2 linked regions of the Pelodiscus sinensis genome follow. The protein of the gene in region 1 interacts with the protein of each later gene in a biochemical or structural test. Links are inferred from orthologs where the notes say so. Each region holds a gene or a part of one and is shown on either strand. Other genes may lie near its edges.

The links.
Region 2: of the proteins of MBP (region 1) and CDK9, one has a biochemical effect on the other in vitro, tested with the Homo sapiens proteins (2 studies listed by BioGRID). The link is inferred for Pelodiscus sinensis from reciprocal best matches to the Homo sapiens genes MBP and CDK9.

The regions. Positions count from the first base shown.
Region 1 is NC_134712.1:98,087,488-98,095,146, reverse strand, and holds the start of MBP (myelin basic protein), read left to right. Parts: upstream 1-4,605; 5' UTR 4,606-5,056; intron 5,057-5,225; exon of another isoform or gene 5,226-5,842; intron 5,843-5,960; exon of another isoform or gene 5,961-6,030; intron 6,031-7,659. UniProt on the Homo sapiens protein: The classic group of MBP isoforms (isoform 4-isoform 14) are with PLP the most abundant protein components of the myelin membrane in the CNS. They have a role in both its formation and stabilization.
Region 2 is NC_134732.1:10,828,161-10,835,952, reverse strand, and holds the start of CDK9 (cyclin-dependent kinase 9), read left to right. Parts: upstream 1-4,750; 5' UTR 4,751-4,868; coding exon 4,869-4,996; intron 4,997-6,516; coding exon 6,517-6,598; intron 6,599-7,555; coding exon 7,556-7,646; intron 7,647-7,792. UniProt on the Homo sapiens protein: Protein kinase involved in the regulation of transcription.

The DNA of each region.
Region 1 (7,659 bases):
CTCCCCGGCCCCAGAGCACAGGGAGGGAGGAAGGGGTATGCCCCAGCTTCCCCACCCAGAGCATGGGGAGGGCAGTCCCGGGGGCAGCAACATTCCACCCCCTAGTAAGCGTTCTGGGGGTGGAGTATGGGCAGAGCTATGCCTGGCAGTTTGGGAATGCAATGCCTTCCCCCACCTATGATACCCACTGCCCCTGCCCTTGTTGTCAATGTTAATAGTATTGAGTGTCTGGTGACCATTAAACTTTTTAGTGAAGATTGAGCAAAATTCAACATCTCAGCTTTCTTGATGTCATCTCTTATTAGCTCTCCTTTCCTGCTAAGTAGAGAACACTTTCCGTTATCTTTTTCTTGTTCCTAACCTATTCAAAGAACCTATTCTTACAGGCTTTTATGTCCTTTGTTAGTTCCAACTCCTTCTGTGCCTGCAACTTTCTGATTCTGATCCTACATACTTGTGCTATTCTTTTGTTGTACTCCTTAGCAATATGTCCAGGTTTCTGCTTTTTGTAGCAGCCTGTCTCCACCTTGCAGAGAAGCCTATTCTCATTATCTGAAGGTTCTGCAGTCATTGATAGCTAGATAGCAACCTTCATCCCAGATGTGTCTATATGGATCCTGTTGATGTTGTGCTCCAAGAGACTATACAAATGAACCATTTCTTCTGAAGTTCTCTGACTTGCTTCCTGACTGACTACACCAACAGACCTTGGTGGGGGAAATGGAGCCTGTATTCCCAGCAAGTCCAGACCAAGCCTGGGCAAAAGCCTCCAGGGTTAGGATGCCTATATGGCAGAAGACTCTATAGGTACAGGCAGAGGAAGAATTAGCATACCAGGTTCTCCCTTGTAGACTGAAAAAAAACAAAACAACCCCACACACTCAACCCTATTCTCCTCAGCTGGTAAACTCAGTGGATAACTTCCTTTGTTTTACCAGCCACTGGAAGCATGCAGCTGAGGCCAATAATTGTGTACCTATCCTGGGTTTTGCAGTAAATATTCCTCTCCCTTGATTTTAGTTCCTAGAGCACGATGTATAATCCTTCCCTATCAAGCTACAACACAGTGCCTATCTCACAAATATACTATTTATAGATACAGAAGTTTATTAGTATTCCTGGAGCCTGCAAGTTTCTGGCACATTTCAACAAAATATTTTGACGTTTCTGTGCTTCCAAAGAATGCCATCTGTCACACGAGCATCTATAAAAACATTCATTTTTTTTGAAGTTGCTAACCTTTTTACAATTAAAGGTGAGGCTAATCACATGCTCAAAAGTAAGCACATACATAACTCTTTAGAAAATTGTAGTTAAACTTTCCTCATTAATATGCTCCTAATAATTACAAGATTCAAATGGGGAGAGGAATCATTTTTGAGATATTATATAAAGTATTTTAAGTCAAAGTTGTATTCAGTATTCCCCGAATATAAAATGACCAGAACTTTGTACAGCTGATGTGTAAGACACCTCTACTTCTTCTTCTTCTTCTTCCTTCCCTAGTTCTGTGATCTTGGACTTTTTTAGTTTTTTTTTTTTCATTGTGGTACAGTAGTATTTTGTTTCACTGTCTTAATTTTTAGCATGCTATCACTTTGAAATTTTGATATTAAAGGGCTGCATTGCGAATCCTTAATCCTAATGGAAAAAGAAAAATTATCACAGGTGCTTCAGTGAGACTAATTGTGCCAATAATTGCTTATCAATGAGAATGACTTCACAAACTGATCCCAAATTTCCAAAGGTTTTCTTACTTCTTACCTTAACTGCTTCTGCTTATTTTTTTAAATCAAAGATGTTACAAATATTTAGGTATTTGCTGCTATAAATAAAATGGTTAATAGTGACACTAAAAATATGGAATAATTAGGAGGGCTGCAGCTCCTAACTCTCCAAGTGTTAAGGCAATGAGGGGCAATCTGGCTACATGAGTGGCCCTCCTCCTCTCAGTGGGCTGCACCATTGTCATAGCCATGACAGTCTCCTGGGATAGAGTAGTTTTGCTAACTGTGCTTGTGTACCATGAGGTGTGCTGTAGCAGCACTTTGATTTGATGCAGAGGGAGTGCATGGCTCTCACAGTCACTGTTGTGTGCAATCAACATGTACCTCACTTTACATGCCCTCGCTTTAATATCAGTAGGAAAAAAACGTGCACGGATGAAAACCAGCAGCCTGGTTAGTGGCAACCCTACATGTGGGCAATAGTAACAAAGTGTCTGGTGGGCCACTCATAGAACCCCAATGGGCCATCGAATTGCAGGTTGCCCACTAATGTGTTAAGGCCTAAATGCGGGACATAAAGTAGAATGAAAGCCCAAAAGAAGGACAACAGAAAAACAATAGCTCAAAGGAGTTTAGGAATGAGACGAGGCAGCTGTTTTGTAACCAAAGTGTGTGACCTTGATTTTCCACTTCTGCAATTCTGAGGAGACAATTTGCAAAAATATTTCTTGACCACATATTCTTTGTTGTGAAATATACTCAAGAGACCAAGTAACCAATGTCAGTCATATTTATTAATATGGTACTGGAAAAAGGTTCAATATAAAATTCCAGTCTCCAAAGAGCAGTCCCATGCAATATTCACTTTCTGCAGAAGGTATGCTGCTACAGTTACGTATTTCACCTGGTATTAACAAAATCCTATAAATTACATATTTCTTTACATGCCACTAAAATTTAAGCCCACAAGTTTGTTTCAGTTTCCTAACTTGTTCTGTTCTTCCTTATCTTTGTTTTGGATACTAACATTCCAGGGACTGATATGAAAAGTTATTTCCCAGCTTGAATCAAGAAACAGATTCCTTCTATCTTGATTTTTGACAAGTTTCCTATACAGTTGTGCCAAATGCTTACTTCTGCGAATGCAAGGCAGTGTGGGATACACTGCATAAATTAACAGGTGTATGGTAAAGAACAGTATAGGCTACATCACTGTTATATATAAATGCACAGAACATGCATTAAGCACCAATAATATTAAGCATGAATATTGTATTGTGCAGATAATGCATATTAATGGCATTTATATGCCAGCAGCATATTAATTCACAGGACCCCCCCCCCCACTAAGGATTGGCTTAAATATATTTTTGTTTTTAAATAATACCTTTTGTGGGAAGGAATGTTGTCATGGCTCCTTCCCCACTCTGGCATGATAAATGCAGAAGTGGGGGCCAGCAAGTGTACCCCAAAGCCTTATCTACCAGGCTTTGATATAAAACTTCCCCCAAAATCTTAAAAACCTAGATTTTGGGAAGAAAACTTCCGCTGCCACCACCCAAATATTAATAACGAGATTAGGGAAAAGATCATTTGGGAAATCTCACGCCTATTATAAAAATCAGGACACACAAGTAACCAAAGCCAGGTTAATAAAAAGAAAAGAGAAAACTTTTATTATTACAACAATATTCCTGTTGCAAGCATAAGGATCAGATGGAAAGGTAACCAAATATACTCATGGAGGAGTTACACCATGGGCTAGAATTTAGTTAAAAAGAAAAGCCAAACATCTCTTAAGCAGTGCCAGATATCAGATCCCATACCCAACCCTTAAAACAATAAAGCCTAATGAAGCTACCTAAACTTTACCCTACTTACAGAAAATGAAGAGAGAGACATGCTTGTCCCTCTCTGTAGCTGCAGAGAACTCACCCAGAGAGAAAAGGGAGAAAGGAAAAAACCCAAATTCCTTTGTCCCAGTTTGAAAGTCCCACCTACATTCCTACTGGTCACTCCACCTGGCTAGGTGTAGTTAACCCCTTAATCCCAGGCTGCTGGCTAACCCTCATAATCATGACAAATGTACAAACTCTAAGCCTATCATATAATGACTCTTCGGATATGTCTACACTACAGAGCAATTTTGGGATACTTCTGGTATCCCAAAATAGTTATTCTGCAACTTAAGAGCAAGCCCATTATATCAAAATATAATGGGTTTGCTCTTCCAACATCCCTGGAAACCTCATTGTACAAGGGATAAGAGAAATAACATGGAAATGTCTGCACAATTTGTGCAGTGCAAATCGAGTAGCTTATTTTGAGGGAAGGGTGCTGGGTATACGCACCCTTAGATTTTTAGTTTTAGAAACACATTAGGTAGCAGGTCTTGCAATAGAACCATGTCCATTACCAACACTGCATCCTGCAAACAAACTAGTCCCATAACACTCTCTGGCTACACCTGTGCAGTTAGTGGGCTATATGCCTGGAGTTGGTGCAGAGCCTTAACCCTAACATAAAGGCTGCCCTCTATCAGGACACTAAATACGTTCACTGCACCAGATTTGCACAGAGCACTGTTCATGCGTTTAGGGACGACAGTGTTGAGACTTCTGCTGCAATCCTGGACTCGGGGCCAACCTCTGGGTAAGTTTCCTTTCAATGCGAAGTCTCTCATGTTACCCACCCCCGCTTCTTTCCACGCCCGGCACCGCTACCTGCGCCAGGCAGCAAGTTCTTCCGCCTCTGCCCCGTGGCAGCAGGTCTTGCCCGACTGAACCGCTCTCCTTTTCCCAGAATGCTCCTTGACGCTCCTCTCTACCCCGAGCCGGGCGCTTCATCTTGTCTGTGTCTTTCTAGCTCTTCCTGGTTTGCAGCAGCCCCGCCCGCCCGAGCCCTGCAGTGACACCGGCGCTGCCCGCCTGAGCCCAGGTGCTGCATGACCCGGCGCTCTGGCTGGAACGGAAAGGCGCCAGGCGGCGGCAGCAGCGGGTGATTTTCACCTTGCAGCAGGGAGCGCTGGGGCGGCGGCGGCGGCTCGCTACCACCTGGGGGGCGCAACCTAGGCGGCGGCGGCAGCAGCAATTGTATTTCAACCCCCCCCCCCCCCCACAGCTGCAGCGCTCGGTGGGGAGAGAGGCGCGCAGTTCCGCGTTGGCTCGGCGCTTTCTCTTCTCTTCTCCCCTCCCCTCTGGGGCAGCTCGCCGCTAGCGCCCCCGCTAGGTGGGTTGGTTTCAGGAAAGGGGGGGGGGGGTCCTCCCCCCTCGTGCCGCTCTCCCCGCCGGTGGATGCCGCAGACCCCGGAGCCCGAGACGACGCGCTGGGTGCGTTATGGTTTGTTTGGGGTTTTTTTTGCAATGGCTGTGTCTCTTCCTGGGGGTGGCGAGGTGGGGCCGGGGCCAATAATGTCCGGGCCTGGCAGCGCACGTGCCTCCTGTTCACCGCAGTGGGCTCTGCCTTCGTGTGGGGCTGTGAGGGCAGGAAGACTCGGTGGCTTGCTCAGTGTGTGTAGGGTGGGGGTGGCATTTGCCTCGCTGCCCTCCCCTTCGTGAGGTGTCCCGCCCCCCCCCGTGCAGGGCCAGCCGCAGGGGGAGGGGAGAGGGGCCGGGGAAGCGACCTGCTGCGAGGGGGCTAGTGCAGATGGCGGTGCCCCCCGCCCAGGGCTAGGCAGGTGCAGGGCTCCCGGCCTCTCGCTGCGCGGCCGCAGGAGGGCTCGGCCCGGAGGAGAGGCCGGGCTGTGACCTGCTGCCCCGCCCGGGCTTACGCGGGGTGTCAGCAGCGCGGAGCGCGCCCCAGGCGTGGAGGCAGCGCGCTCAAGTCCCCGGGCTCGGCTGGAGACAGGGAGGGGGGCAGCGAGACCAGCCCCCCGGCCCAGGCTGAGGGACCCCGCCCGGGGGCTTCCGGGTTCAGCTCCAGGCTTGTGTCCGGACGGAATTGAAAAAGCGAAACAAACCAAACTCCTCGCCTGGCTGCAGCCCAGCCGCGAGTGCGCGCCGAGCAGGGGGCGGGCTGGTCCCGGCTGTCCAGCTCACCTGGCCGCCCAGCGGCTCGCCGGGTGCGTGAACTTTCCTTGCTACTTTCTTTGCAATGCTCGGCTGAGTCGCTGGAAGGTGCGTGTCCCGCCCTCGCTGCGGTAGGGAGCTGGGCCGCCCAATGTCAGTGCGTTAGTGTGGCTGCTTCTGCCAAGCAGGTTCAACCCCTCTGCCTTGGGGGAGGGGGATGCCGGGTCTTTGAGTGCCTCATGGTTAACTCTGCTCTCACTCGCACCCGTGTTTTCTGTGTTGCGCTGGGATCTCTGGTAGGTGAGCTTCTGTAGTTTTTGTATTGCTGTCAAGACTCTCCTTCGTGGATGTATTTGATTCTTTTTCTAAATGGCCTATGCATACTTAGCAAACTGTAGGTATTTTTGTGTGCACCTGGTGGCTCGGTAGCAAGGGCAGATATGTTGATCTTACAGTGCCTGGATATATATATGCCAGGAGTATATATTTTTCATCTATATAGACTGTTTTGTTTTTTTTAATACCAATGAGCATTGAAAAGGTAGATGAGTAAGTGAGTAGGTGAATGGATGGATTGGTAGAGTGAAGAGACTGTCATAAAGGTTGAATCTCTCTGGTCCAGCAGCATCCATGGTCCAGCATGATTTTAGTTAGATGGATGTCCACTTATCATGGATGTGACCAATCTTCTTGAGGTCCCATTAAGTTTGTTTTCAGCCACCAGTCCTCGCTCCCAGTGTTCTGTGCTGTTATATATCTCCATTTTACCCCTAAATGTCTTCTAAGAACCCAGTAAGCAATGGCAGTGTTGGTAATGCTGGTAGACAATATTGACCCCCTCCCCCGCTATGGTTTGGCACATTCTCTGGTTTGGTACCAGTCAGGGTTCAAGGATGCCAGACTAGAGAGGTTGAATACTGTTCACATGGCAATTAGAGGATCACAAATGTATAAAGAACCTTTTAATTTAGTGCCGTAAGTGGACTTATGTCGAGCTTTGATTGTATTAGACCATGAGGTCAACCTGTTAAAGGAAATTAGTATATCCTGAGAAAAAGACAAAGAATAGGTCAGTCTTATTGTTTTGTCATGACAAAAGTCTCTCTGCAAAGCGGGAGAAATTTCATAAATAAAATGTAATATTATATTATTAGCCCCTCTCAGCATATAACGAGTACAATGTAAAGGACAAAAGGGGAAATACTTATGTTCATAGTTGCCCTGAAAACCAAAAATATGAGGCCTAGTTCTGCAAAAATAGTTGAATTGCTACAGAATATAACAGTAACTAGTCATAATTTGAGTTGGCATTATTGCCATGGCAGTTTTCCAAAATGTACTATGTCATACTGTCAGCCTAATGATGAGATATTAAAATTGTTTAAATCATTAATATGCAAACTGAGCTGTGAGAATTCTCAGAACAAACTTGTCCTCTCTTTAGACTTTGATTCCTAAATGGTGACTCCTAAAGCTAGCACTATGTTGCTATTGAGTGAGATGCAATGCTTTGGTTCACAGTCACCTAATCTCTTGTATCCTCTTCCAAAAACACAGGTACTATAATTACAAAAAGTACCTGTCGCCATTCCCACCATACATACTTTTTTCACTGATAGATTTCAAAGTTCTTTCAACAGGTGCTTTATACCTGGATTTGATTTAAATAAAATTGATTTGTATCACTAGTTAGGAGGGCTTAATTTAATCATGGCTTTCTATGTCAAAGTGCATTCTTGTTGGTTGTCATAACCTTAATGCAAATTCTTCACAACTCAGAGAGATATGTGAGTATCATTTTTAAAAGGGACACACTATACATTTTTGAAAAATTTTCTGAATAGTTTTAAAGCTATATCAGAAAATGAATGATTGTTTAGCTATTTCATTTACCAAAGGTAATTGAAGCAGATATTTATGATGTC
Region 2 (7,792 bases), on another chromosome or scaffold:
CCGTATGGTTCTTTTGTGCCAGGTGATGTGGGAGTTCCCCATTGCATGAGGGGCTCTGCTTGTGCCTGGGCTGGATCTGCTGTCTGGATACACATACATCATCAGAACCCAGGCCCAGCGACCTGGCATTTCTCCCCAGCACTACATTAACGCCAGGTTGTTGCATTTTCCTCTTGCTGTTTCTGGACGTGCATCTAAGGAATCACCTCCCCCACAAGATGAGCTCACTCTGCTCTTGTTTGTTGTGGCTCTTCCTGCCAAAGGCCCCAGAGGCAACGGAAGAAATCTACTCACCGGCCCCTGACGTAGGGAAATGATAGAACAGGATGGAGAGCGGCAGCCCGGGCCCCGACGGCTCACTCCTGCGTCTCAATTAAATGCCCGAGCCAGGAGAGGTGATGAGTCATGGGCAGTGGCTCCCGTGCATGTGCCGGGGAGCTGGCACACAGTGTTCCCAACGTGAGTGCTCTCCCCACGGACTATTCTTCAGAAACAAATGGCCTGATCAGCCTGCCAGGCTCAGGAGAGCTGCTTGTTGCTCTGTGTCCACAAAGAGATGGGACAGTTCTGGGTAGTGAATGCCAAGCCAAACCACAAACCACAGGGTCACAGTGGGATGCCAGTCACTGGTGTCCTTCGTAGGGCTCTCTCTGATGCATCCGCACACTGTCCTGTGCACACCCTCTCCTGCCTCTGGTTCACGCATAGATCTCGAAGAACCCTCAAAGGCAGGACCTGCGTTTGCAAGAGTGGCTGCTAGTTTGGGATGGGGAAGGTAAGTTAGGGTTGATTTTAAGAGGCGCCAAGAACTAAGAGCTCCCAGTGGCACCTCCAAAAAGCAGGTACAAGTCTCTCCGGCCAGGCACACAAAGCCAGAGGCCACTTTTGAAAATTTCCCCCCAAGTTACATTGTGGCTTAGTGGCCAAGCCACTATAAAACAGGAATACCCGCTCTTCCCACTAGGCAAAACTTTTTAACAAACAGGTTTCAGAGGTAGCCATGTTAGTCTGTTTCAGCAAAAACAAGGAGTCCCGTGGCACCATAAAGACTAAACATTTGATTATAGCATAAGCTTACCTGAGCTGCAATTCACCTTATCAGATGCATGAAGTGAAACTCAAAGGAAACAAATAGGGGCATAGAGATGGGAGTGTTACATCATGGCTAATCAGGATGGATGTGGATAAGAAGGTGAGAATACTTAAAATGGAAATTTCCTACTATCTGATTCCTTTGCCTTTCACTTCATGCATCTGATAAGGTGAATTGCAGCTCATGGAAAGCTTGTAGTGGGTTTTACCCAGGAAAGTTCATGACCCCATATATTTTTGTTAGTCTCTAAGGTGCCACAGAATTACTTATTGGTTCATAATACAATTGTTAGCCCTTAAGGACCCCTTATTGTTTTTCCTAAATAACATTAATGGTTTCACCTTGGAGATGAGACTGGATATCGCACCATTGTGAAATCTGAAAATCCTCCCATAAGGAGGAGCCAGCCCAGAGAACAGAGGCACGGGAGGGCTTTTGCGCATGCAAAGAATATTTCTGCTCGGTATAGCAATGTGAATTTTTTGTTTATTGCAGGAAAGCTTTTTCTCAGTAGGGTGAACAAGGATCACAGAGTCATCAGAACCAGGTAAGAGCTTGTCCATTCCTCTGGGCTAGCGCAGTGCTGTTCCCTACAATGTGTACTGCAGGAAGAGAAGACTGCAGGGCATCTGAGCTGACCTGGGTGGGAGTTTCCTTAAGGAAAGTGGAAAGTTATTTTATTCCTTAGCGCACTCAAGAGGGTTGGCAGGCCTGCTGCTGATTACAAGTTCCTCCCCTTTCCTAATGTCTGGGTCACTTGGGAGGGTGGATAAATCTGTACAAACCCTGTGTACTGCCTGCTCTGCTATTGGGCCAGTGGCCATGGGTAAAGCTGATGCAAAACCATGCTGCCTTGCTAGCCCTCAGAGGGAAATGCACACTTTCCTCCATCCCCAACTCCAATGACACCACTGTTATGCAGCTCACCAGGTGAAAGATGAGTGGCATCTGGTTTGGAAACTAGTAAATAGCAACAGATGGAGTCCAGAATGAAAAGGAACCACTCAAGCAGGCAAATAGCCTGCTCGAGGGTCAGGCAAACACAGAGCTGGCATCCCTGAGAAAAGGCCTGTGATGGAGGGGTGGGGTAGGGCCACAGACTTTGGGAAGAGGCAATGGAATATACATGGAACTCACTCAGATTTCTCCTTGGAATTATTTATTCAGGGACTTCCTCTTGGAATGGGGTAGAGAGAGGAACAGTCACCTTCATTTCTGGGCTTGGGAAAAATAATCCCCTGGCTCCCAGAAGCACTGAACCAGCAAGCTGACAAAACTTTAGGGAACAGATCTACAGATGGTGTAACTGACACAGGACCATGAAGTCAATAGAGCAATGCCATTTCACACCCACTGAGGATCTGCCCTAGATGTATGCAGGAATGTATTTGACACAGTCTCCAATGGATCAGAGAATACATGTGGTGCTAGCGTCTAAGCAAGGGATCAGACAGCAGGGGATGTGCTTAATGCAGTATACAAGGGCTCAAAGAGTAGCCAGGACACTACAGAATGGAAGCTGATCAGTGTGGTTTGCTCAGGAGCCATGCAAATTGCCCCTTTTTTGCTGGTTCTCTTGCACCCCAGTCTATAAGTGAATTATTGGTATCACTACCAGTGGAATAGGTTTTTGACATGGCTCCTCTAGGTTTCTCTTTTTACCTTAAGGAAAGAACTGAGGCTCAGAGAGGATAATGACTTACCTAAGGCCACACCAGCAGTCAGTGGCAAAGTCAGGCCTGACTCACAATTGCTTGTCCTAACCACTCCAGTCCCTCTAGTCTTTCTCCTTTCCTGGCAGTAAGATTATTAGTGGCACCCTACTGTACTGACTAGACTAGTTTCTGCTCTCTCAGCAGGCCCATTTCTGTTGCCTGAAATCTTGGCTTGACTTGACTTAGTCTCATGTATGTGAGAGCTAAATCTCTCACTGCTTGCCTTATTGCTAATACTGTTGGCTTGTTTCAAAGCCCCCCCTGCTGGCGTTCTGCTCATATCCATCAATGCCATGGATACTGGCATTGAGATACTGCTAGCAGCTGCATCTCCTGCTGATTGTGAGTAATGGCAGGAAGTGTGGGTTGGGTGTATGTGTGTGTGAATGTCAGGGATGGGAAATGCACTGAGAAGATAATGTGCAGAAATTGTGGGGCATTGCCTCCTAAATGGTCTTTGGTCTGTGGTGGAACATACAAGGGGCACAGTGGGGCCCAGGCCAGCCCCCAGAGGCAAGGACAGACCATTGCCATACCCAGCTCTGCTCCAGCTTCCTCCCCAGCCACGACCTCTGACTGACCATGCACCCATCCCCATCTCCCACTCTGCACCCAGCTCTGGTGTCAGTCTCAGCCTTAGCCTCTGGCTGTGGCGCTGATCCTGGCCCCAGACCCACCCCCACCCCCAGTTGTAATCCTGTTACCCTCGTCCCTTTTCGCCCTCCCTCTGGAGAGCTGTGGCTCTGCAGGATGGTTTGAGGGTGTATTGACAGGTGTAAGGGAGGGTGTAACCCTGAACAGTTTGGGACCAGTGCTCTCCATCAGGGAATATTTCCTATGTGTCAGGGCCACTGGCGATACACACGAGAGAGACAGGATTTCAATGTTTCTTAATGTAAAAATGCTTCTATGCAGGAAAAGCTGAGCGTGGGTCACATTTTGGGCCCAACAGGGGTGCCCGTGACACAAGATACCAGACTTATCAAGTGCCAAGACACTGTGGCTGTGTCTACACTGCACACCTTTTCCGGAAAAGGGATGCAGATGAGACAAGTCGGAATTGCAAATGCAGCGGGGATTTAAATTTTCCCCGCTGCATTTGCATGAACATGGCTGCCGCTTTTTTTCGGCTCAGGGCTTTGCCGGAAAAAAGCGCCAGTCTATACGGGGATCTTTCGGAAAATAAAGCCTTTTCTGAAAGGTCCCTTATTCCTGATTTTAAGAGGAATAAGGGACCTTTTGGAAAAGGCTTTATTTTCCAAAAGATCCCGTCTAGACTGGCGCGTTGTGCCGGCAAAGCCCCGAGCCGGAAAAAACGGCAGCCATGTTCATGCAAATGCAGCGGGGAAAATTTAAATCCCCGCTGCATTTGCAATTCCGACTTGTCTCATCTGCATCCCTTTTCCGGAACAGGGGTGCAGTGTAGACACAGCCACATGTCTGAACGTGAGGCTCCCTTTGAGCCTGAGGCCCAGGCCAATGGCTTTGACTGGCCCTGCCCCGGCTCAACGTAGTTTCTCTTATAGGCTGGAGTTGCAGTTTCCGGCCGGGGAGCATTGGGAGCGCAGGGCGGAGCTGGGCCGATGCCCCGAGGTCCCTGCCTGGGACTCCTGGGGGCGGGCCCTTGGCGCTGCGGACCGCTAACCAAGTGCCAGGTCTACGAGAACTACAACTCCCAGGCGGCGGCGCGGCGGAAGAAGGGGCGGGGCAAGGCTCACGGGGGCGGACGTGCCCGGCGTATGACGTGAGCAAACGCGCCGCAGTCGCGGGGGCGACAGGGGCCTAGTAGCGGGAGCCGGGCCTGCGGGCCGACATGGCCAAGCAGTACGACACGGTGGAGTGCCCCTTCTGCGACGAGGTGTCCAAGTACGAGAAGCTGGCGAAGATCGGGCAGGGCACGTTCGGGTGAGAGCCCCCCCCCCCCCAGCGCTCGGGTCTGGGCCGCCCCCTGCCCTGCGGCCCCCAGCGCCCCCAACCCGGCTTCCTGCCAGCCCGGCCTTCTGGGAGCGACCCCCCCCCGCCGGGGGCGCTGAGGGATCGACTCGCCCTCGCCCTCCAAAATGCCTTGGTGTCTTAGGAGATGCCCAGGGTCTGAGATCCCCCCCCCCCCCCCCGCCTGGAGATCGGTGAGAGGCTGGTCCATTGCCGGTCTCACCTGCCTTGGAATCTGCGAGCCGGCTCTCTCGGGGTACGTCTGCACCGCACCTGTATTTCAGAATGAGCGATTCCAGGAGAAATACTCAGAAATAGCTTGTTTTGAAATAGCACGTCTACACTGCAGGGGAGCCTCAAAGTTAGTCCCAGTCAGGTTCCCCTAATGTGGATGCGCTGCCTTGATTTAGAGCCCCAGGAGGCCCTAGAGCAGTGTTTCTTAAACTTTCTAAGACTGAGGAACACCCAAGGATTTTATTTTATTTTATTTTTATTTTTTTGCTCAACAAAAAAAAAAGGGGGGGAGTTATTGAGGGGGGGAAAAAAAGTTTCCTGCCCCTCTAAGTTTGGCCATTTTGCACTCTGTTGTTCTCCAAGGCACACCTCCAACTGCCTCGGCGCACACCGGTGTACCGTGGAACACAGTTTAAGAAATGCTGCACTAGAGAGTAATTACTTTGAGTGGCCCTGGGGAGGCGCTATTTCAGAATAGCAGCAGGGGCGTGTCCACAGTACATTGCTTGTGAAATGAGGTTTAAAGATGTTGGAATAAGCCATCCATTATTTTGAAATAAAATTACTGTGTAGATACTCGCATTATTTCAAGATAACATCAGTTATTTTGAAATAACTGTGCTGTGTAGATGCACCCTAGGAGATTGTGGTGCTTCTTGGCACGAAGTGGGAAGACCTGGGCTAGGCAGAGGGTCAGCACTGAGTTGCCTGTAAGCAAGCATAGAAATGTCTTGTTTGGTCTTGGCTGGGGATGTAAAGAATTAGTTGCTGCTCCCCCCCCTCCCCTCCTTATCAGATAGAGGCAGCGAGGGGGAGAGAAAAGAGGAGGGGTACTTAAAAGCAGCAGTGCCACATGGAGCCTGGGGTCAGCTGGGGACTCCAGGCTCCATGTGGTGCTGCCCTTTCAAAATGCCTCCCCAGGCTCCACATGGCATTTCAAAGTGGCTTGGAGCCCAGGATCAGTTGGGGACTCCCCAGCTGACCCTGAGCCCAGTGGGGTGCTGCTGCTTTGAAATGCTGTGCAGAACCCTGGATTAGCTGGGGACTACCCCGGGTTCTGCATGGCATTTTGAAGCAGCAGCACCTCTTGGAGCCCAGGATCAGCTGGGAACTCCCCAACTGACCCCAGGCTCCGTCCAGTATGCCATCCTTGAATTGTGCAAGAGTTGCCAGCGGCATGGAGGAAGCACAGCATGGAGCATGAGTCCCCTGTTAACCCCAGGCTCCATGCGGATGCTTCCTCTTTGAAATGTGCAAGAGCCCCCACTGGTGACTTTGTTCATTTCAAAGCAGAAGTGCCCCTATGGAGTCAGTGGGACTTCCTGCTGGGCTGTGTGTGTCATACCAACTTTGAAATGCCCAGGGCCCTGGGGGCTCTTGTATATTTCAAAGGTGGAACGTGGAAGTGCTTATCAACTAGTAATCAACTCAGCTAATAAATTAATCACTAGTTAACATCCTAAGTCTTGGCTGGCTGTGCCTGCTCCACTTGGCTACTTCAACTCCTCCAGGAATGCCCATGTGTTTCTATCCTCTCTGCAGGGAAGTGTTCAAAGCAAAACATCGGCAGACAGGCAAGAAAGTGGCTCTGAAGAAAGTGCTGATGGAAAATGAGAAGGAGGGGGTAAGATGGCTGGGCATGTGCCTCTACTGTGTCTGGGTTAGAAGGGTGGGAGTTTGCGAGCTGGGCATATGTCTTTAGTAGACAATGTCTCAATCTTTGTGGGATATGGAAATTCATTGTGTGTGTAACTTTGCAGGATCTACAGCAGTAAAAACCAATATAGAAATAATTTCAATTTAGAAAGTGTTGTGCTGCTCTGTGTATTAGGGATGTAAAAGGTTAACTGGATAAACAGTTAAACTGTGGGGGCCGGAGTAGCTCCTGAGTGTCCGGAGTAGCTCCTGAGTGTCCGGAGCAGTCCCTGTTGGCAGTGGGCCTGGGTGCACTGCAGGCAGAGGCTGCTCCAGCCCATCTGGACTGCACCTCCCCTTAATTGGTTAACCAGTTAAACCCCTACCTATGTATCAGGAAGTAACTTGGTTTAAAACAAAAGTCTTTCCATGTTACATGGGTGTCTGAATCGCATCTCTGTTGAGCCCAATAAGATTTCACTTCTGCTCACATGGTAAAGTTCATACATTGAGGAGATGGGGAGCTGCATTCTAATTGGGATCACACATTAACAAGTGTCTCCATGTTTTAATGGCAAACATCAGTATTGCTTTTGCTGGTCATCTCAAGAAGCAACAACACACTGGATTCTCTTCCACATCTCAGGGTTTTTTTTAAGTAGTTGATCCAGTCTGGTGTTCCGGACAGTCAACACAAGCTATTTTAGTTACTAGGTGCTAAGAGTTATAAACTGGAAGTCACTGTGAATAAATCTGGAACTGCACAATGTTGGTGTTAGGCTCTGTTCTGACCCTAGCTGTGGTTTGAGCAGCAGCACTTTGTCTGCTTGAATACATCTCTTTGAGATTTCTGCCATAATTATCTCCTCTCCCCTTTCCTCCCCTCCCCTGATCTAGATTAGACTGGGATCTTCTCTTGCAATTCTAACTTGTGGCTCTTTGTTAGTTCCCCATCACAGCCCTGCGTGAGATCAAAATCCTTCAGCTGCTCAAGCATGAGAATGTAGTGAACCTCATAGAAATCTGCAGGACCAAAGGTAGCACATTTTAGTTCCTCCTTTTTATTTTTTTAACTTACATCAGTTGATCTCTAGTGTACCCTTTATTTTTTTCTCAGTGAAATGCACTAGCCCAATACAAAATAGCATGGTTTGTCCATAGGTTTTGGTGCATATCTGCCTCG